Linked DNA regions of Drosophila melanogaster. The gene in region 1 interacts genetically with each later gene. Each region holds a gene or a part of one and is shown on either strand. Other genes may lie near its edges. The genes, in order: E(spl)mbeta-HLH, uif and Su(dx).

What was found.
Region 2: of E(spl)mbeta-HLH (region 1) and uif, changing one suppresses a phenotype caused by changing the other (phenotypic suppression), as found in Drosophila melanogaster (one study listed by BioGRID).
Region 3: of E(spl)mbeta-HLH (region 1) and Su(dx), changing one enhances a phenotype caused by changing the other (phenotypic enhancement), as found in Drosophila melanogaster (one study listed by BioGRID).

The regions. Positions count from the first base shown.
Region 1 is NT_033777.3:26,003,957-26,009,182, forward strand, and holds E(spl)mbeta-HLH (enhancer of split mbeta, helix-loop-helix), read right to left. Parts: upstream 2,068-5,226; 5' UTR 1,938-2,067; coding exon 1,350-1,937; 3' UTR 1,090-1,349; downstream 1-1,089.
Region 2 is NT_033779.5:7,006,603-7,013,071, forward strand, and holds the start of uif (uninflatable), read right to left. Parts: upstream 3,758-6,469; 5' UTR 3,691-3,757; intron 3,308-3,690; exon of another isoform or gene 3,271-3,307; intron 2,048-3,270; exon of another isoform or gene 2,045-2,047; 5' UTR 1,798-2,044; intron 1-1,797. Other genes in the region: CG43321 (uncharacterized protein), read left to right, coding at 5,725-5,922.
Region 3 is NT_033779.5:2,035,444-2,044,919, reverse strand, and holds Su(dx) (suppressor of deltex), read right to left. Parts: upstream 7,207-9,476; 5' UTR 6,696-7,206; intron 6,393-6,695; exon of another isoform or gene 6,279-6,392; intron 5,188-6,278; exon of another isoform or gene 5,116-5,187; intron 4,991-5,115; 5' UTR 4,929-4,990; coding exon 4,766-4,928; intron 4,704-4,765; coding exon 4,561-4,703; intron 4,499-4,560; coding exon 3,347-4,498; intron 3,274-3,346; coding exon 2,351-3,273; intron 2,268-2,350; coding exon 2,069-2,267; intron 2,007-2,068; coding exon 1,737-2,006; 3' UTR 548-1,736; downstream 1-547. Other genes in the region: lectin-22C, read left to right, coding at 7,673-8,464; CG42296 (uncharacterized protein), read left to right, coding at 8,984-9,038, 9,356-9,476.

The DNA.
Region 1 (5,226 bases):
AAGCCGACAAGCTGAATGGGAACCCCTCTAGATCAGTTTCGCCAACGAAGCCATCCAATTAGCCCCCGGCAATGGCCAACATTGCGGCACTTAGTCAATCTTGGAGTGAACTGATCGCCTTTCAACTGGTCCATCGCAAAATAGATCACCCATTTTCAGCAGACTACCGTTGAGCCCTATAAATAGCCGTTTTGTAGTCCACAACAAAAAAAAGCACAAAATAAGCGGAGAAGCGCTAACTTGGCCGTCTCGATGCCAATGTTACGTGACTAATAACATTTTCTGAAGATTAACAGCAATCAGCGACGGCTTGAACGGTCCCAGACTCGAGACGACCTGGTAAGTAGTCATCATCATAGTTGTCCGCCAGACAAAGGCGCTGAATCCGAGGTTCCGTAATCGAACCGCACTCCGATACACATACCCCATACCCCTACCCCAATCCCAGCCCCTATCCATACCCATACAGTATTGGAGTTTTAAGACTTAAGTGCCGAGACGGTCGCGGTCGCGGGCTTAATTTGCAATGTCTGACCGCCGGTCCGTCCGCGCATGTGCCAAGCGGTCAAGCGCAGTTAAAGCTGTCAAAGCCTGAACAAAAAAAAACTAAAAAAGAGCAAAATCTTAAAAAAAAAGCGAAACACAATGACCACAATGCTGAGCCATTGACAGCGGAGCCGCGGTTCTCACACTCGGCGGGCCTCATAATAAATGCCGTTTCCTAGAACTGACTTTTTGCTTTATTTTATTATTTAATTGCGACAGCGCCGGCGCAAAACTTCCCGCAGATATACGTATGTATGTTGTATGCCCCCTGAAAGCCCCGCATACCCTCGCAATCCGAATTCTCGGGGCATAATGAGGCCAAGCCGGAGAGACCAGACGATAGTCCGAGTGTGGGAAAATATTCAGCGACTTCCGGCTGTGGGCTCTGCGATTCGGTTCACCACGGAGTTTATCTCCAATTCGTTTCTTGTTTTAAGGGGTTTCTTTTTTTTAGTTGCTTTAGTTTGCGGTTGGACGCCCACTAAATGTCTGGGAAGTCTGAGTAATCAGCTCTATGGGAAATAAGTAAATGCAGAGATTCTTGAGTTGGAATTTCATTTATTTTCATTTCTTTATGACTTTAAGAAGTGAGCAGCAGCCATCTCTATAGCCGAAATTTGAGGCTCTGCTAGAGATGATCGGTGGCTCTGCTGGGCTGCTGGGAAAGCTATTCCTGGGCAGCAATTGATGATCTCCAAGGAGTTCGGTGCGGTTTCAAGTCCAGCACCTCTTTGGGGCAACAAATTTGTAGAAGCCTTCCGCTTGAAGGCGATTCAGGTGAATATCATCCGGAGTCCAGTTGATCACCAGGGACGCCACATGGGGCCAGAGGTGGAGCTGGCCTCGCTGGGCGCCGGGCTGCAGGCTCCGCTCTCCAAGCTGTCGCATTCCGAGGGAGGTGGAGTGACCATAGCTTGATCCTCTACTGGAGCTTGAAGAGGCACTCCAATGGGCAGCGAGGGAACCACCACTTGCAGGTAGTTGAGACGATGGCCAAGGTGACTCATCAGCTGGGTGCCGAGATCCACACTCACTCCGGGTACAGCGGCCAAGGTTTTGGACACTTCATTGGCAGCATGAACGTAGCCAGCACGGAAACTCTCAGCGATGCTAAGCTTGGGATCGGCACTCGGAGACACTCCACCGGTGACGCTGGACAGACGCAGCTGCTTCTGGGCACGCAGCTTCTTCATGTGCTCCACGGTCAGCTCCAGGATGTCGGCCTTCTCCAGCCGGGTGATGTGCTCGCCCTCCTGGGTCAGGCACTCCACCATGATGTCCTTGAGCTCGTCCAGGCACTTGTTAATCCTGGCACGGCGCTTACGCTCCAGCATGGGCTTCATCACCTTGCGGTACTGATAGGTCTTGGACATCTCCATTTCCAGAACCATTTTGTTGTAGTTTGGTTTTGTTTTTTTTTTATTGGGGGTAAAGTAAACTCGCGTAATCCACAGTCGCAACGTTCCACTAGATTCGGACTCGGAGACTCTGTGTGCACGCAACGAAGTCGGAGCTTTGAATGAGTCGGCTGGCTCTGGGATCGGCTTTATATAGCCTCTGCCGCCCTGGGAACTGGACAGTGAGTGCGAGCGGGACACTCATTTTGCCTCGTGCGCGGCCTGCTGCTGTTGCCAGCGGTGGTTTCAGATGGCTTGGTGGTGCTTGGTTGTGGTAGTGGTGGTGGTGGCTTCTGTTTTTTTGTATACTTTTGCCTGTATATGTGAGGGCAATAAAATGACTTGAGCGGGCTGCGCCTTCTCGCTCTCTCTCCCTCCCTCCTTATGTATGTGCTGTGATTGTTATACCGTGGGAAACTGTTTCGCAGCCGATTTCCACGACGACGACGATGACGACGGCTGGCCTGACTTCTTCTGATTGTGCATGCTTGGGGTCTTGTACGATCCCTCGTCCCTCGTCTTTCCGTCCACCGTCTTTCTTGAGCGGACGGACGGATGGACGGGCCGCCTTTAAGAGGTCTGTGCGACTTGGGATCCCAGATACGATGCGAGGCGAGCACATGCCTTCCATCCATAACAAGATGTTTGCATTTCAATTCATTTGTATGGTCGACTATGGTCGGGGTCCGGTCTTTTGGGCTTCAATTCGGTGCGGTTGGGTTCGGTTCGGTTCGGTCTCAAGTCTTGCCATGTGCCTTCACCCTTTTGCAGTAGCTTATGGCACGCTGATAATTGTGGAATCGTCATCGGGCCAACCCGAGACGGGCCAGTGTTTCTGTTTCTTGCTTTTTTGTTAGCGCTTTATGGATCATTGATTGGATCGTGGTAGTCGTGGGTTTCGTGGGACGAGCATTACGCTTTTCGTTTACATGATTATTCTTGATTGTCGGTTGGGGATCGTTTGGGGATCAGCTGCAGTTCGGTTGGGGGTTTTGGGTTCGCTTGGGGATCTTGGGTCGTCGCTCGCTTCTATTTGTAGACAATTACCATAGCGACTTCGGGCTGGGAACCGATCGAAGTCGACGTGTGCGCGAAAGTCGGTTACAATCGTAATGGCTGTTGCCAGCACACGCTATAAATGTTATGGCTCGTGGGCTATACGCGATATATGTATATGTATGTATACACATTTAGCACATTCGGTATTTATTTTTAACGCTATATCGTCGTGATTCATCAGCTTGAGATGCTAGATCTCCATCCGCCGGCATCTGACACATCTCGGATCCTAAGCTCGGGTTTCTCAACATTTAATTAGAAGTGCCGGCGACGATGACGCTCGCTGGCGTTCATTGAAAATGACACGAGCCCGGCTCATTGGCACACAAATAAGGAATAACAAAAGCTCCGAGACGGCAGCTACTCGATCACTATGTGTATATAAATTCAAACTCAAATAAGACAAATTAAGATTGCCCCTCGACGCATTCGAAATGAGCTACAGTTAGCCGAAACAAAGCAGCAACGGTGATAAACGGGCCAAGACACAAACGGCTAACAACTTATCTAACCGAAACGTTTTGTCCGCTGGACCGGGACACTTAAACTGTTGATGTCAAAAAGCTGAATGCTCCGGAAATGCTTAATTGGATTTTATGGGTCGGCAGTGTGTCAAACTGTTCGTCAGAGGGTGGTGGTTGCATTTTTGGGGTGAGTTAGTCGCATGATATTTGCAACAACCAATTAAGAAGTAATTCATATTGGATTATTAAAGAAACAATACTATAAAAAATATGGAAAAAATATTTCAAAAATTTAAAGATTTTTAAAAACAATTTAGCTACAATTGTAGATAACACGTTAAATTAAGAAATATTTTGTAATAACAATATAATCCATTTATATAATCCATTCATTCAACTAGCTTAAATTAAAAGCTAAATAGTATAGGGGCTCCAATTGTAATTCGGAAGTTCCAATTTTCATGTAGTAGCTATAAATGCCTTTAAACGCCACTGAAAGACTTTTCTAGCTTAACAACTGAATCACTGTCGTAACTCGAATCATTAATACCAATTGTAGCAATTAGAGGAAACCCAGTGGACGAGCACGTGCCCCCAATAGAATTCATCGAGTGTGCCCCTATAGCTTGAAATGCAGAAACCTAATCTGCTGCCCATTCCGAAAATATAATATGGAATAATAAGGTAGTTATTTCACAAATTTCATCAGATTCTGCAATGCTCGTTGGGGTGTAGCGCATATGGTCAAGTCGCTTAAGACCAACTGGCCTTTATACACCCAATCATCCAAAGATACAGCTACACATACAAAAAAACATATATCGCGAAGACCTCATTTCTCTCGGTTTATTATTTCTCTTGCTTGCTTTTTTTTAAATTTTGTGCTTCATTTTTTTTTTGTCGATGGCATACGCACGCGCGAATTTCAGTGCCCCCGCGGAGTTGAGCGATCGCCCGAGGGGGTGGAGCGGTAAGGGGCGGGGCACGAGAGCGTGCAAAACTCGGAGATGGAGACCAGAGACCCAGAGCAACAACACCAAGCAGTGTGTATGGCCATAGCGTGTTGTTGAATTAATTTATATCCAACAGTGCGCTTTCAACTTTATTGCGCCGCGAAAAGCAGCCAGCCAAGTCAGCAGTCGTCGGTGGGGCTGCCCCCTCTCAAAAAGCCCCCCGCTTAAGCCCCACTTGAAAGCCCCCCGCAAACCCACAGATACACCACAGCTCACAGATACAACGCACACCAAGGCAACGCCAGACCGTGGGAAACAAACTCGTGCCAGTCGTTTCATTGCTGTCAAATAATATCTTGATGGGGATCAACTTGAAAAGATTGGTTGGGGCTTGGGCCCGAGCTCAGTCCGCCGCTCCGGGTCTCCGTGTCCGTCCCGTTGGCCCTCATTCGCTGGTTGCCGCTGTTTAGGATGCGGTCGACGCTTTTGTGTTTTTTTTTTATTTAGCTTTTCTCATTTTTTTCGTATTTTTCAGATCTCTTTTTTAATGCTTTACACATTTGTTCGTCATAGCCGCGTGTTAAGTATGTGTGTCCATGTCTCTACACTCGATAAAAAGAGTTATGGGTTGTCACTTCAGATCATTCGCTGCAATCCGTAACCATTGTAACCATTAGTAAGTTTGTTATACTATAATTTCTATTGTTGGTCTGCGATAACTTTTTGTTCAGTGCAAATCAGACTTGCACTTTAAATAACTGAACATTTTTGAATATTTTTCATATTTCATTTGAATATTTTTCACAG
Region 2 (6,469 bases), on another chromosome or scaffold:
TGGATGGATCTCTCTTAAGACTAACGCCGACAACGCCCTGGCATTCCATTCTTTTAATGGCCAACTGACACTTGATATGCGGCAAGAGATTTGTCATTCATGTGAACCATGCGTAGGACCCATCAGTCCTAATAAACTAGACCCATAATACATTTCATTCCACTAATTTCAACTGACTTCTCGCACTTTCAGTAGGGATTTGAAGATGGGTCTTTACCTGGTATTGCTGTGAATTAAATTCTGGACGTACCCTTTGTTATTGCTCGTTTTTTAGGGTGTGTTTGTGTGTATCTACCTGCCGATACATTGGCATCAGCTGCCAATTATCAAACTTCGAGAAAAGGTCGAAGAATCTAATGCTGAACTCGTCATAGCCCAAATAATAGATGACTTTGTGGCGTTTCTTTCGGGGATTGTTTCCTGCGAAATGGTGGATTAGATCATACAAGTGAAACCGAAACCTTTGTTAGGTAAAAAATTAATTTGAATTAAATTTTCACGAGCAAGACTTTAAAAAAATCGGAGTCACAAAATAACTTTCCAACTCCATTCACGATTTTGTAGCAAAAGTTTTCCAGCGAAGCCCACACAAATCAAAAGACTTAGGCAACAAACTTGCATTCACTTCTCTTGCTTGCAATCCCTATTAAACTCTTAACACACATTTTAGCCACAACTTCCGCTTGTATGCTGTGAGCCAAATACCAATATACAAATTATGACTAAGCCATAGCGACTAAGGCATAAAGCACGCGCTAAAACAAGTTTTACTTGTTCCGATACCTTTTGCCAAGTTATGAAAATGACTTAAGTAGAACTCATCTCCGGAGAGAATCCCTAATCATGGCATGGCAATTTCCATAAAGCAACCAGTTTATTTATATTTGCCAAATAGCTTTGCCAAAAAAAATGAGCTACGATATAAAAAGCAAACACCGAATTTTTGTGGCTTGTTTACAAGTGTGATGAGGGCTTTTTGCATTTGTTCTGCTTTTCACTTTGGTCTGAGTGAAATTTTCTACTACTTCTATGGTTTGTTTCGGTTTCTGTTATTAAGCAACAACAACAACAGCGCGCCGAGTGCGTCTTGAAATTGAGGTTAACTGTTTGGGTAGCTCTCGCTTTTCGACTTTTCGATGGAGTTTTGGGGGTACGGGTATGGGTATGGGTATGGGTACGGGTATAGGGAAGCCGACTTGGCCTTTATTGAATGAATGTGACAACAAAGGCGAGTCAGACACGGCCGGCAGACAATCGAAGCATTTTTTAGGTTTTGTTTAATAGAAAGTAACAGAAATTGTTCTTATTGTTGTTCGGGTGTGCTACTTTTTGTGGATAAGTGGGAATCCATATGGGAGGCTTTATATGGAATACAGCATAACCACTCTCGATACGCCAATTGTTTGCTCAATCAATGGGAATCAATCAATTATTTAAACACAATTAAAACGAAGTTTCATTGCAAATCGTTGGATAAAACGAAAGCATGGCATTGTTTATGGCTTAATTTGTATGTAGACATATGCATAATTAATCGGATTTTTGCGCAATGACTGAAGCCAAAATAAGGCGTGTCTTGAGATTGGCTTTTAATTCATTTGGCTTACTGATTGATAGTTATGAGGTATTATAGAGTGATGGTATGCAATGATGTCAGCTTAAAAGCAGAAGAATATAACGTCATTGGTAGACTAATACTTATACTTAGTATTCAATCCAACCCGCATTTCCACTCTACACTTTTTACTTTGCCACTCTTTTCCGACTCATTCGCTGCCATTTCAATATGCAACTCACCTCTTATAAATGCAGCTTTAGCTGTATATAACCACTATATATGTTCGATACGTATCGTTCGCGACTGCTAGTATTCCAATTTATGTGGCATGTCAGCTGGTTATCCTTGAGGTCAACAAAAGCGACAATAACGACGGTTTCTTTCCCTTTCGCGACGACGGCGGTGTCAGTGTTTTTTATGGCAACTTATTGGTGCGGTTTTCTTTTTATTTATTTAAACTTTTAAATGTACAAGGCCAGTGTTGCACTGCTGGTAGATATTTAAGTTGATTAAAAGTTTTAAAATAAAAGCTGAGCTAAACGAAAACGCGTCACATAAATGTAATTTATGATCGGATAGCCTGACTATCTATAGTTTGTCTAATGGGGATGGGTCTGTTTAATTATGCATGCCGTGGCAGAGATCCGAAACAAGTAAGTCCAAGAATTCTCGTCTGAAGTCGCAGCACGTCTTCGAAATGTGTTGGGAACATTTTGGGATTGAGTTCACAAAAATGTTCGAAGAAATATTTATGTTAATTAGGTGAAAATCTGGTGAGGATAGTCCAAGAAGTATTCCTATTGAGATTTTGGGTCTCTACGATTGGACAACCAAACAAATGACTTAAGACACGAACTTTTTGTAAGTCAAAAATGTTGTTGGTTTCACTTTAACCCCAAAACTGCATTCTATATATTTTTTTCTGTTTAGTTTTTGTGGTTGTTTCTTTTGGCCATTGTGCAAAACACTTGTTGGCCAGTTTCTGGTAGCAGTTGTGGCTTCTTTTTCCGTAAGTTTGTTATTTCTACCCGGTTAATGGGAGCGTAAATGCGCAGCTGGCATGTGAAGTGAGTACCCGAGTGTGTTACTCCCGATGGATGGACTACTTACTCACACAAGTAGTCTAATGTCAGTTGGCAAAGTAAAGTGCAAAAGGCACAGACAAGTTAATGGACTGGTAAAAACCGAACGGCTGGCAAAGAAAACAGGGAGAACAAATTATACTAGAAGTTCAACAACTCGGCTAAAAACAACATAAAATTATTATAGCGGACTACTGCTGACTTCCTATCCTTCATTTGATAAAATAGCTAAAGAAATTCTCGCATTAATTTGTCGTATCTCTACCACTCTTGCATTTAATGTTAGTTATATATTCACTGATTTCGTAGTATTGTCCTCTGTGTTGCAGTTAATCTATTACACTTTTTTTTTTTTCAATTTAAAATTCCTCTTGTTTTTTGCTGCTTCGCATTTAATGGTCAGTTTCCTCATAGAGCACACACGATCCAAGCACGCGCCTCCATTAAAATGCACAGAAATCCTTTTTCGCTAGCCAGCGTACAACGAACACAGGCACAAAATCAAACACTTTGCTGGGCAAAACAATCGAATAAAATCCAGTTTCGAGGCAAATACATTCACAAAATGCACAAGCACTTATTGTTATAGGACACAAAGAGATCTGCAGATCCGGGGAGCGCTTACTGTACCATGTACTGTACCACACGAAGGCCAAACTCAGACTGAAACTTGTTCAGCAAATCAACGCGGTCTGCACCTGAAGTTTCAGTCCACGCACACACACATACACACACTCGTCTACACTCGCCCAAAGACCACAAGACACGACAGCAAAAATGGTAAGAAACTGGCGAAGAGCGGGCCAGAAAGCAGAAAAAAAGGTAGAGAAGAGAGGTAGAGGCGATCGGCAATAGGTAGAAACGTAAGACTGCGAGGCGAGGAAAATAAAACAGCTTAACGTGCCCGTTTTACAGATTTTCCTATGGCTCACTGTATATGTATATCTAGCCTCATCTCGCCAGACTTCTTAACGGCTTTCGTTCGCTCACACTTACTCACTCACTCACTCACTGCCGTACTGAAGAAAACCCAGTCGAATCGATACATACACTTGTCTAGAGTTCGGGTTCGCCGCAGCCTCTTAACGTCCACAACGCGCCACAGTCGAAGGCATACTGAAGCCCCGAAAAGCTTCGTATTTCTTAGGTTTTTTTCACATTTCTATGGTTATCGGTCGGCGAAAAAACAACCGGCATACCGATCGTTATTCGCCGCCGTCGAATTCGGCCGAAATGATGGCTCGGTAATCTCAGCCGGCACTGCGAATTCGCCGCACAAACGCTACCTAACCGATGTTGGCCAAATGCGTGGGCTACACCGCCTAGACGGGATTAGCTGCGGCGTCCTTGTTTCTTGGGAAATTTCGTTTAATTGCCGAGGACATGTGAAGTCGGAGGTGGGTTTTTACCCTCCCTTGATTTTGGGTTGCTTGCTGTTTTCAAACATTCGCACGCAACGGAAGCGGTGGCCGAACGAAAGACTCAAGCAACGAACTTGCTAAAAGGGTTGGCTAACAAAGTAGAGAGCACCATAAAAGTGGGATTGTTACACTTGGCCCTTGGAATCCTTTGGCACTTCTTGCTGCCTCTGTTTGGTTACACACTGCTCTCTCTTGTCCCATTATTTTTTTTATGAAGTCATAAACTGTGCAAAACGTGCGAAATGCTAAACGGAAATGGAATCTACAAATGATCAACAAAAACTACTCATTTAATAGTTAGGGTTATTGCAGGTACTTTTTCAAATCAAGATTATCTTCTCTTTTAAATAACTTCTAAAATTTCTCCCGCAAGTTATCCTTTTTTGTGTGTATAGTTTTCAAAGTGCTTCAAGGATATTCATTGTTTTTAGTATCGATGGCCATTAGAAGATCTTATGCCTTTTTATATTTTGTTCGTATATGTAACCTTACGTCACATCCGTCGCTAAAAGGAATTTCGCACTCGTTTCTTAGGAATTCTATAGAATTGCGCACAACAATTACTATTTATGGTGGGATTTCCCAACCCGAAGGATTTCTATTAAGGAACACTTTATCTCTGTGTGGATGAAGAGTCCAAAAAGGCAAATTGAAGGGGCTTAAGAAAAATTTTGATAACAGTGAGAAACCATCAATGAAAAGTCAGCTGGGATTCTTAGACAAAAAATCAATTCTATATTTGTGGTATGTAAATGATTATTCAATGTTAACTCAATCTTAACTAAATACCATTGTTTGCACTTGGACCTGGTTAAAACCAATTAACTTAGCCGATGAGAATAGCCGAATTTAGAGTTAATTAATTTTAGTTTATCATTCCTTTAACAAGAATGATTTATTAAGCTTTTCACTTCCTTTCTTTTCAAATTAAAAATAAATGCTTGTAAACAGATAAAACGAAAATGATGATAAATAATGCACTGCTTCCAGTAGAAATATAAAGCAGATAAATCGATCCAATTTACACATCCACTGGAATAAAACAATTTAATTATAGGGTACACGCGATCATTAGACTCCCATCTATCCATTTTCGAATAAGTTTTTACTTCCTTCTCAAAAACAGGTCATGATTATTATTTCGGTGCAATTAAAATGTGTCTTGACTTCTTAGGAAGTAGAAAAGGAAATTTAGTTTTCCTAATGCTAAAGCATTAGTTAAGGGAATATGAATAAAGGGAACTATCTAATTACATTTAAAACTTGTTTAGTTTTACAATTCCTTTTGAAAACACAAATTCTTTCCAAATGACACCTTTTATTCTACGCTCCGTTAATCAACAAACAAACACAACACTGCTGCAGGTCGAATATTAAAATAAAAGGCAATACCCTTCCTTAGACGGAAATGTAGACAATTGCAAGCCAATTGAAGAGGGACGATCAGACGGTTGACAAAATCAGTCGTTTGAGCCAGCAGAACGGAAGTTCCATATAGGGCGCACACTCAAATATTCCGATGAGGGTTTTGGATCCGCGTTTAGGTTCTGGGGCGTGCCTGTCCCAATTTGGCCGGAGAAAGTCTTGAAATTTCTATCAGAATAATGTCGTATTCCATTTCCGAACACACACTAAAATCAGTTACCGAAATAAAAACACAAAAATGCCATTTCGTGGAGACAACTTCAAGGACTTTAAAGAAATAAATAAAATTCGAAAGGAGAACAATAAATACAAGTACATCGCTGTTTTCATCACAGTTATACCCGGCATTATATTGGGCGGATTTATGGGCAAGAAATTGGCCCAATTCCTCGAAGTATTTGATCTTTATGCGCCCGATGTCTCGGAAGATGATTAATATAACAACCATGGCGCATATGGAACTTCTACATGGTGAACCAAATGAATTTGGAGCAAACTTGTGCATATCCTGTTTGGATATATGCTAATGTGCCAATCCAAACAGGCCAAACGGGATGCTAGGAAAGAAAACTCAACGCAAACAACTGCCCAGACCGGTAACCAAATTCAAAGCAGGGTAATAAGTGCACAGATCAATTGAATCATAATTAGTGCAAAGAGCTCAAAATCAAACAAGTTTTTAACAATAAATGTGCCTTTTCATTCATGTATTTAGAATGGTTTCTTTCTAGGGAAGGTGTCCATTTCATATTAAGCATCTTACCCAACGTCAGCTTTATATTTTATAATTCAAGATTTTTTAGTGTAGGTCGCGCAATTAAATAATTTTTAATTATGACACAATTACCTAGAACAAACGCGAGTTTCCAGTCTATGTAGAGCATGAATTGTAGTTTGAATTGCAGATGAGCGTTGCTCGCCCGCAGATTTGGTCATCGCCAGGCTTTAATTGCAACTAGTAAGTGTGGAAATTTGCTTCTTTA
Region 3 (9,476 bases), on another chromosome or scaffold:
GTCACATATGTATACCCCCAAAAGGATGGAACCCCAAATTTAACCAGAAAATAGTTTAAGCACCATTTTGATAGGATCTACCAGCAAAATCCTCTCAGTGCATCGCCACCTGTACGCTGTGTAGTTTTCCTGTTTTGACTGCTGTGTTTTTGCAATTTAACCGCAATAAATAATGGAGCAGCTTGTTAAATTTGAGCGCCCGCCCACCAGGAGGCGCTGCAAAAATGTAGGTTAGACAGCCCAGGATAACGATAGTGATGTTGGTGGTTATGATGGCAATGATGACGGGGATGATGATGGCGATGTTATCAGTGGCCATTTCACTGGCTGACCGAAACGAGACTCGTTTGGTGTGGAAATGCGATTTTTACATATGTGATATAGATTTTAATTGCGGGGCATTAAAATGCAAGTGGCGGCCAAAAATGCGCTTAAAATAATTACATTTATTGCCGCATCGCCGATTTGGCAGCCGACTAAGCGAAAAGCAACCGCAAATGTCGACACAGCAACGCCAAGTATCAAGTATTTCATCCATCGGCCGTGTATCACTAAATAATTTTGCATTTATTTTATATAATACAGTACACATTGCATTAAACTAAATAAAATCTATTTAATATATATATATATATTTAATATGTACTCGTACACAATCAACCCTATATACGCCGCACCTCCTAATCATCCGATTTGTCTTAGTCCGCACTTTTGTGTAGCGTAGTTAATATACGAATCGCCTTTAGTTTTGTTAACAATTATTGCTATTTGAATTCATTATTGGTTTAAGTGTATTCTCGTGTTTGTCGTTTAAAATCCTAACGTATTTTGTTTGTTTGTTTGCGGTGTTTCAAGTTCTCACTTCTCACGATGTCTGCGTCGTTAGTGTGGATATACATATTTAAAATATAGTTTCTATTTAAAGTTCTGTGTATGCTCGATAAACAATTGAACAGCTAAAACAGTTTGCCAGTACACCAAACTCAGCTCGTCAACAATTCGAATTCGGTCGAGTAAACTATTTACAGTGGAGCGTATCAATATAAATTCACCAATTGTGGTTAAAAACATGCAAGCCGGGGCTCGTTGTACAATTGAACTAGAAGCAATCAGAGTGCAATCTTATGGCGAAAACGTAACATTTAGTTGCGATTGCTAGACAGTTTGATGTGATCCAAACGGATGGATGCCCTAAGCAAGCCCAAGTTCAAATTTGAATATATTCTGGGAATGGCGGTGCTTAAGTTCTTAAAGGCTTAGCTGAAGCTAAACGGTAGGTGGTTTTATTTATCGGCGTAAAACAAGGATCCAAAGAAATGTATGACAATTACATTTGAAGATAGATGGTCGTAAGAAATATCAACAGAAGCGAATCAATCAAACTTTGTCTTAAATTTACACAGGAGAGTTATGCAGTGGATAAATTATGCCTAACAAATTATAAATATCTCTAAAATAGGCTCTCAATACATTCATACATAGATTGTTCTCAAGTTTCGTGCACTTTTAACAAATATCTCGTGTGATATCGGTTGCGAACATAGGAATAGACAGACAGAAGTGTGTGTTTCGTGTTTACAGTATACAGTAGTAATACATACGTATGTAATAATAATAATAACAGTAACTATTTAACGCAACGTGGTCGTCAAATGGAAAGGGGGAGGGGACGGTAAAGCAGGCGCTTAACTGGAATTAAACATTAATCAACAAACCGACCACAAATCGACTGCCACTCATTCCTGGCAGAAGCCCTCAGTCTCCTCGATGGCAAAGGTCAGCTTCTCCACCAGCTGATCGTAGCTCTTGTACGGCGGCAGGTCCAATCGATTGAAGCAGGTGTGCGAGCGCGGCAGCCACGTCTCCTTGCCCACCTTCTCGATGCAGAAGCGCTGCGGCCCGTTGGAGCCCATCAGCTCGGCGAATCCTCCGACCGGCACGCGACACGTGCCCGTCACAAACTGCAGCAGGCGAGCTCGCTTCTCGTTATCCGTCTCGCGAACAAACTGTGGAGCCAATTATCCGGATTAGCGAATGGAAAGGGCACAAAGAACACAAAGGAACCCACCTGCCAGAACCAGACAACTTGCTTGGAGTTGCGGTTGTAGTGCCTGTAGATGGTGTTGCGCTGCCAGTCCTCCACGTCCACGTCCTGCATGCCGCACAGAATAAGCTCCAGCTCGCGCTCGTCAAAGTACTTGAGCCATTCCAGGGGCACCACCTCATTGAAGCCTTCCAGGAACGTCTTTGTCTGCTGCTCAATGCCACTGCAATAGGAATCAGTTAATACCGAGTCAAAAATGACACCCATATTGACAACATATTGTCGTTTATCAAGTAAAATGCATACCGTGTCATCCGCCACTCCGTCATGAGGGTGATGTACTCCTCCTTGTTCTCCTCCGTGACGCGCTCCTTTTCCCCGTTCTCCTTCAACTCATGATGGATTATCTGACCGAGCACTTCGAAGTCCACGCTAAACCAGAGCTCCAATCCACACTCATCGATGTTGTTATCTTTTACCCAGATAAGTGAGTTGTAGAACTCCGGATCGATCGTTTCGATGTCCTTGATGGTCAACTTCTTGTTCAGCATGCGCTTGTAAAATGGCATTGTGAATCCACTGTAGATAAACCTTCCATGATACAGGGCCATCGCAATAAAGCGACCGATGAACTTGAAGTACTGCAGGTGATCGGGGTTCACGTACGAGGCGGGATTTATCTGCAGGCTGTAGTTGTTCTTGTTCGCGTACTCAAACAAGCAGTACATGGGATTCAGAACCTCGTGGGAGAGCAAGAAGAACCACTCGCGAGATACACCACCATAATCCAGTCCCTCCTCGCCGCGGAATATGATATAGAGCCGCCTTCGCAGTTCGTAGGCTGGCAGACGCATGATCTGGTGGTATGAATCCTCGAACAGGGTTTGTCGCGTCACCGTGATCTTGATGTGCGATGGCAAAGCGTTGCTCTGGCACAAGTACCGGAACTGCGACAGCTTCCAGCGGAAGCTGCGTTCGTAGGCGCGTGGCACTCCGTACACTCCCTTGGCGCCCTTCGGAGCACCGGGTCGAGGATCTTCGAAGGTGGTTCGTCTCGTGTTGTGATCTACGAAGAAGCGCTCACCGGCGGCTGTATAGCGGATTTCCCAGCCGGGTGGAAGCGGGCCCTCGTTGATCAAGCTCACCTCCTGGCCCTGCGTGCGTGGATCCTCCCACTGGGTGGTTCGGTTCTTGTGGTTAACAAAGTACACTCTGTTGTCCGATTGGATCTGCGTAAGGATTAAGTAAATAAAGGAACGAGTTAAAATAAATACTTTTTCTAATCTAGACAAACGGCTTTACCTTCTTCTCCCAGCCATCTGGTAGTGGACCCAGTGCATCCTCGTCGTCCTGCGTCACCTGGGCTGTCACCGCCGTTGGTTGCTGCTGCTGCTGGGAGTACAGGTATCGCTGGTTGCCTTGAGACACGACGTGGGCCCGCTGACCCTGCCAGTGCTGGAAGTGCATCAGACGCTCACTGTTCGGCCGCTGCCAGGTAGTTTTTCTTGTGTTGTGGTCTACGTAGTAAACTCGACCGCGCCCATCCTTCCTGATCTCCCAGCCCGGGGGCAGCGGTGTCGGTTTCTCCCAGTATGTGGATCGTGTATTGTGATCTACGTAGTATCTGCGACCGTACTGGTCCAGACGGATTTCCCACCCTGCAGGCAGCGGCTCATCATCCGCTGGTTGTGTCTGCAGTTGCGGATCTGTGCTTTGGCTCACGGGCAGTCCAACTCCTGGCTGTTCAATTGGTGGGCCTGCTACTCCAGGTGGTCCTACTGCTGCTCCTCCTCCAGCTGGCAAATAAACAGCAGCTGGTTGTGTATTCTCTGGCAGCGCTCCGTACACTTGGGTTAGAGGACGAGCTAGTGCGGGAGCTGGTGGCTGCTGAGGATACGGAGCTGTCTGCGGCACGGCCGCCCCACTGCCATTGACCATTCTCAGGGGCTGCTGTTGATTCTGGGATTGCTGCTGTTGCTGTTCCCACACCGGGGGCGCCTGCGTAGATCTCCTGTGATCTCCACCTCCATTCGGCAGAGGAGAGCGGGTCTCTCCGCCGTTGCTATTTCCACTGCTCGAGCGTAGTCGCATCCGTGCCCGTACTCCACCGTAAATCATGCAACTTCGTCCGGCGGCCGCATCACTGACCACCGACGGATTGACCGCCTGGACGGGTGGATTGCCATTCTGTTGGCCAGCCACTGGCTGAATCTGCAGCTTGCTCATATCGAGTTTGAGGCCATTGAGGATGGCCACTAGTTCGCCGCTCTTCGTCTGGCGATTGTCCGACTTGCTGGTGACGAACAGGTCGATGGTCAGCTCAAGGAACTCGCACCGCCCATTGTAGTGCTGCAGAATGTGCGCCAGGTTGATGATCCGCTCTCCAAGCATGGCATCTTTACGGAAACTGGAGTGATCCAGCACTTTGAAGTGCAGCGTTGAATTGGGTGTAATCTAGAGACGATAGATCCCGTGGATATTACAAATAATTGACTTTTATTACTGTTTCTACTCACCAGCACTGTGAACTCCTCGTTCCACTTGGGCAAATAGCTGTTCTTCACCAGGTCCGTTTTCCGCTTGCTTTTGCTGTCAATCAAGAGCTCCACGTAGGGATTTGGCTTGAGGAAGCCATTGTTGCGCAGCGAAGCCTCCTCGACTGAAAGGATTTGGGGCCATTATTGATTGAACAGAATGTTTCACTTTCTTTTGTTTGCTCACTTGTCACGCTTAATTGATGATATCCTTGATTGGCACTCCCACTGGCCCCCGCCCCCGAGCTGGAGGTGGGCGTGGGGCTGGCGGATCCCGCTCCATTCACTGTCTGCCCGGCTTCCATGCCGCCGGAAGCTGCACCCGCTGGCAGCCCATTTCCATCGGCCATTTAGTGGCTGAGTGTGTGAGTGCTCCTGGTGCTCCGCCTCCTCCTCCGCCTTATATTCCTCCCTTTGAGTGAAGAGAAAGCCAGTATTGAGCACGCTGCTATTGAATATTGGTGGTGGAAAGTATCGAATGGGGGGAAATTGCGTGTTCTGGACTGATAAGATAAGTCCGGAACACGGTCTACATACGTAAATGGTTTATCAATACCCAAAAATGTACAATGCTGTTGAACAGGAAGCTTTTATAGAGTGGAAATAACTATCCGAATAAAAGTGTTGTACACACTTTTGCTAGGTTTACAGATTACCAACAGGCCTTTATGGGAACCCTGAGTGATTTACTAAGCACTTTTTAGGTGTTATGCAGTTTTCCTTAGTCGCTTTAAGCTCTCGACTACTTATACACCTGATCTTAGAAGGCAGATAATGCCAGCTCTATATCATTATGAAAGCGACTATCCGCAGATAAGATATGGCCTGTATAGCTTTGTGTATTATATAGTGTGTAAACGACAGTATGGCAACAAAACTGTTTGCGAATAGGCCTTCACTTTTTTGGTGAAATAAACTGCTCGAACAAATTGTGAGCTGTAAAATCGGCGCTAATGTATGTACAGTGCAACTCGGTCATATATGAAAGATAAAAATTATGCTATTTCAAGCGAAATTAATCATGACCAAACTGGGTAAACAGTTTATTAAAAAACTGAGTAATGTTTCTGATCCCAAAATATATTCTTTGACTAAGTGAGGCTAGAGTTCTAAATTATTGAAAGAAACTTGTATTACTATAGAAATTCCCCCAAATAAATATATAAATGCACTGATAAGTGCACTTGATTTCGTGGACTTTAAACTACTGGGAAGCACCGTATTATCGCCTATTAATTTTCTCCATAATTTGCGACTGCCACGGCTGTGTGCGTGTGTGTTTCCCTGTACTTTTTCGTACACACTCAGCACCGATTGCTGGTCATCCATAACTTTGATAGCAAACACCCCGCTACACAATAGATTGTATAATAATGTTGCCATGTGAGTCATCGGCTCAACGCGAAAAAGAAAACGGCAAGTGAATTCGGTTTCAATTGTTGAATGGCTATTGCATATTGATTGTGTGCAGGAAGCAACATGGCCGATATGGCGATACACAAGCCCACAAATAAGTTATTTTGTTATATATCGTCAGAACTGAAATCTCAATGCTTTAATGACTTCTTCGCTTTGCTTATCGGCATGCTGATAACTACCATGATTTTCTCGCTGTGTACCGTTCGCGATTTCTCTTTTGCTAGCGTTTTCACTACATTAATTAACCGAGAACACGTGAGCAAGTGCAGCTTGTTGTTTACCATTAGTGTCTACTCATCAGATTCTGTGACCGGATTGAAATCGATTTGGAAGGGCTTTGCATGGATCTGAATGGGACACAGTTCTCCGATCAATTAGCACGCACTTTCCGGCTCATTTCGCCTATCATTCGAGCGCTTATCAGTGGGCCGATGAACAAAGGGAAGCTATCTGGTGGGGCAGCCGGAGCGCGAGCCAAGCGAAGTAATCAGCAACAGCTGTCAATAAGCCTAGAATGCACTTCTCGCTCGATGGATGGGGAGGGGTGGTGGAGGGAGGGGAACTTGAACTTCCTTGAATTATCGACCGCAGGGCTTAGTCACCCACACAGCGCCACTATGCTACAGTACACACATATATATGTGTAGATATATATTTATTCGTGGTCATGTAACGCACGCCAGAAAGAAGGTAACTACCTCTCCCACTCCCACTCCTTCTGTGGGTGGGCGTGTGTGTGTTTGTGTGTGTGCGCTTGTAATTGAGGCAAAGGTCGCGACTTCCGTCCCGCTCGCACTCGCTGCCGCCGCTCTACCGCTGGCGAATTCCAATGCAAGAGGCGTTCCTTTTTGTTTTTAGCAATTTCTGGGGGTTTCTCCTCCTCCGTTTTCCTTTCCTTTCTACCTGTGTCTTACCTTCTGCTGCTTCTTCTTCTGCCTCTGGTGCTCCTACAACTTGCGCCTGTGTGTGTGGTTGTTGTCTCCTGTGTGCGGCTGCATGTGCGAGTGTGTGTGCGGGATTCTTAACTGGGTTTCCCGGGCCCCAAAATTGATGGCTGGATTATTGCACTAGTTGGCGCTGCCGCCCTCGCTTTGGTCCACGTAATCGCGAGCAGTTGATATCGCTGCACTAATTGTTTATTTGTTATTTTGCTTCGCTTGCAAGCAGCAATTTCTAGAGCTGCAACTTTGGACGATGTTTTTCGATACAACTGATGTGGCCACTCAGTGCGCGAATCGATAGGTTGAATTCAATTGGCGAGGCTTGTTATGCACGCTAGACTGGGTTGGCGTACTCGCTATATTGCCAACTTACATGTTCAACCAGAGTTGCCGTACAAGCTCAAAATGGAGTAGCCAACCAGATTTGAAAATGACCGCGAATAGGAATTAGGAATAAAAATAAGAACGTATTGCCCGTAGTCACAACAAAACAAAGGTAAATAATTAGCCAAAAAGTTATGCACCAGCTAGTACTTCTGGCCCCTCTGATTTTATTGGAATCTAAGCTTATTACTCCATATAAATTAGAAGCCCCCTGAATATTCATTACTCAGTTGCGTTGCTCATTGAATTTCTTTAAATGTTATTTAATTTTGTGGTGCTATTGAATAAATATAAAAGCGCGGATTCAGTTCATCGAATAACATAGTGTTTGGCAGTAAAAAGTGCTTACAATGCTAAAATCCGCAAGTGCTTTGCTATGTGGTCTTCTTGCTTTAAATTTGTATGGAGCTTGGGCAGAATCCGATGTGATTTGTCCTTTAAAGGACCCTCCTAGTCAATGTGGAGGATTCTGTCTGGGTGTACTTACGCCCGTGTTAAATCACCTGACCATTTCCCAAAATCTGGCGAATTCCAATAATTCAAGCAAGGCTAACGAGGTCCTGGTGAGACAGTACACGATGGAAGGCCAACTGACTGCTCTGCAGAATAAGCAACTAAGCATTGAAGTCGCACTGGATGCCCAAGGCAGAAAACTGAATGTTAACGAACAGAACTTTACTGAACGACTGAATTGCATGGAAGGCATACTGTCGGCCCTGGAGAAAACAGTCCTTGAAGTAAAAACCAAAATAAAATACCTCGGATTCGAGCAAATCGGCTCAAAGTACTATTACATAGAGAAAGTATCCGAGAAGAACTGGTCCACTGCTTCAAAAACTTGTCGCAATATGGGAGGGCACCTGGCCGACATTAAGGACGAGGCAGATCTAGCCGCCATCAAGGCGAATCTCAAGGAGGACACGCATTACTGGCTGGGAATCAATGACTTGGACCACGAGGGAAAATTCTTGTCCATGCCCACGGGCAAGCAGACTACCTTTTTGAAATGGGCCTCGGGGAGACCCTCTCAGTTGGACACCCTCAACTGCGTGTTCCTATACAACGGGGAAATGTACGATTACCCATGCCACTATACTTTCCGGTTCATTTGCCAGACCGAGGAGGAAGATTTAAATGTATGATTTAAATAGAAACCACATGAGAATAATAAAACCTTTGCTGATGCCGTAACACCTGTGATTTTTTATTCAATCCCTCAAGCCTTCATTAGCTTATCTCTATTACTCACTTTATGGTTACTAAATTTACCAGTTTCACGTTATATTGCACTTTTAGACAAACAAACTGCGCACAAAAAGTGAAATTTCCTTGATTCTCCGATCTTTCCAGTAGCACAAAAACTATTTGTTTAAACAATTATTAGCACTCGTTTTAAATACGAGCACTGAGAGCGGAGAGTCCAAGAAAATTCGTCGTATACCATGTTGTTTGTTCGCTTTCGGACTTTTTCACACATTGTCAAGAGTTTCAGAGAACGCGGCTCAAAGTGAAAATTATCAAAATTTAATGTGCCGACCGCTCCGCATCCGCAGTCATTCGTATCGCGGGCTTCGAACGGAGCAGATCGGAACTTACGGCTACGGACTTCGCACTACGGTCGGGAAGGATTACGCGAAGAGGATACGCGAAAAGGATACGCGATGAGGCAGCTGCTGGTTTACGCGTTGGTCGCGGGCTTGTTTTACTTTTCCGAAGGTAAACTCCACCAGCAAGTGTATTGTGCCAGATTTAAATCAGTTTTGGTTTTCCTACTTTCAAAGGAAAGTGTTCATGAATTCATAAACGTAATTCACTGAAGTATCCTAAAAAATAAAAAATGCCTTGAAATGAATAGTTACAATTATTACAAGAAAGTGAATAGCACCTTCCATTGCTTTAAAAATATGTACAAAATGAAACCATGTAGGAAAACCAAAACTTATTATTCGGAAATCTCCGCTAAAGTCGAAGTGCTTTTCCCATGTTAATGTGAACATTACTCCTTTTCCCATTTCCGCACTGGCTTAACGCAGGCAAGCCGTGCCCCGAAAAGACACGCCCCCACAAAACCCGCTGCGACGCCTTCTACAAGTGCCGGGAACTGCCCTCCAACTCGCACGTTTGGATTCCGGTGAAGTGCAACGAGGGATTGGT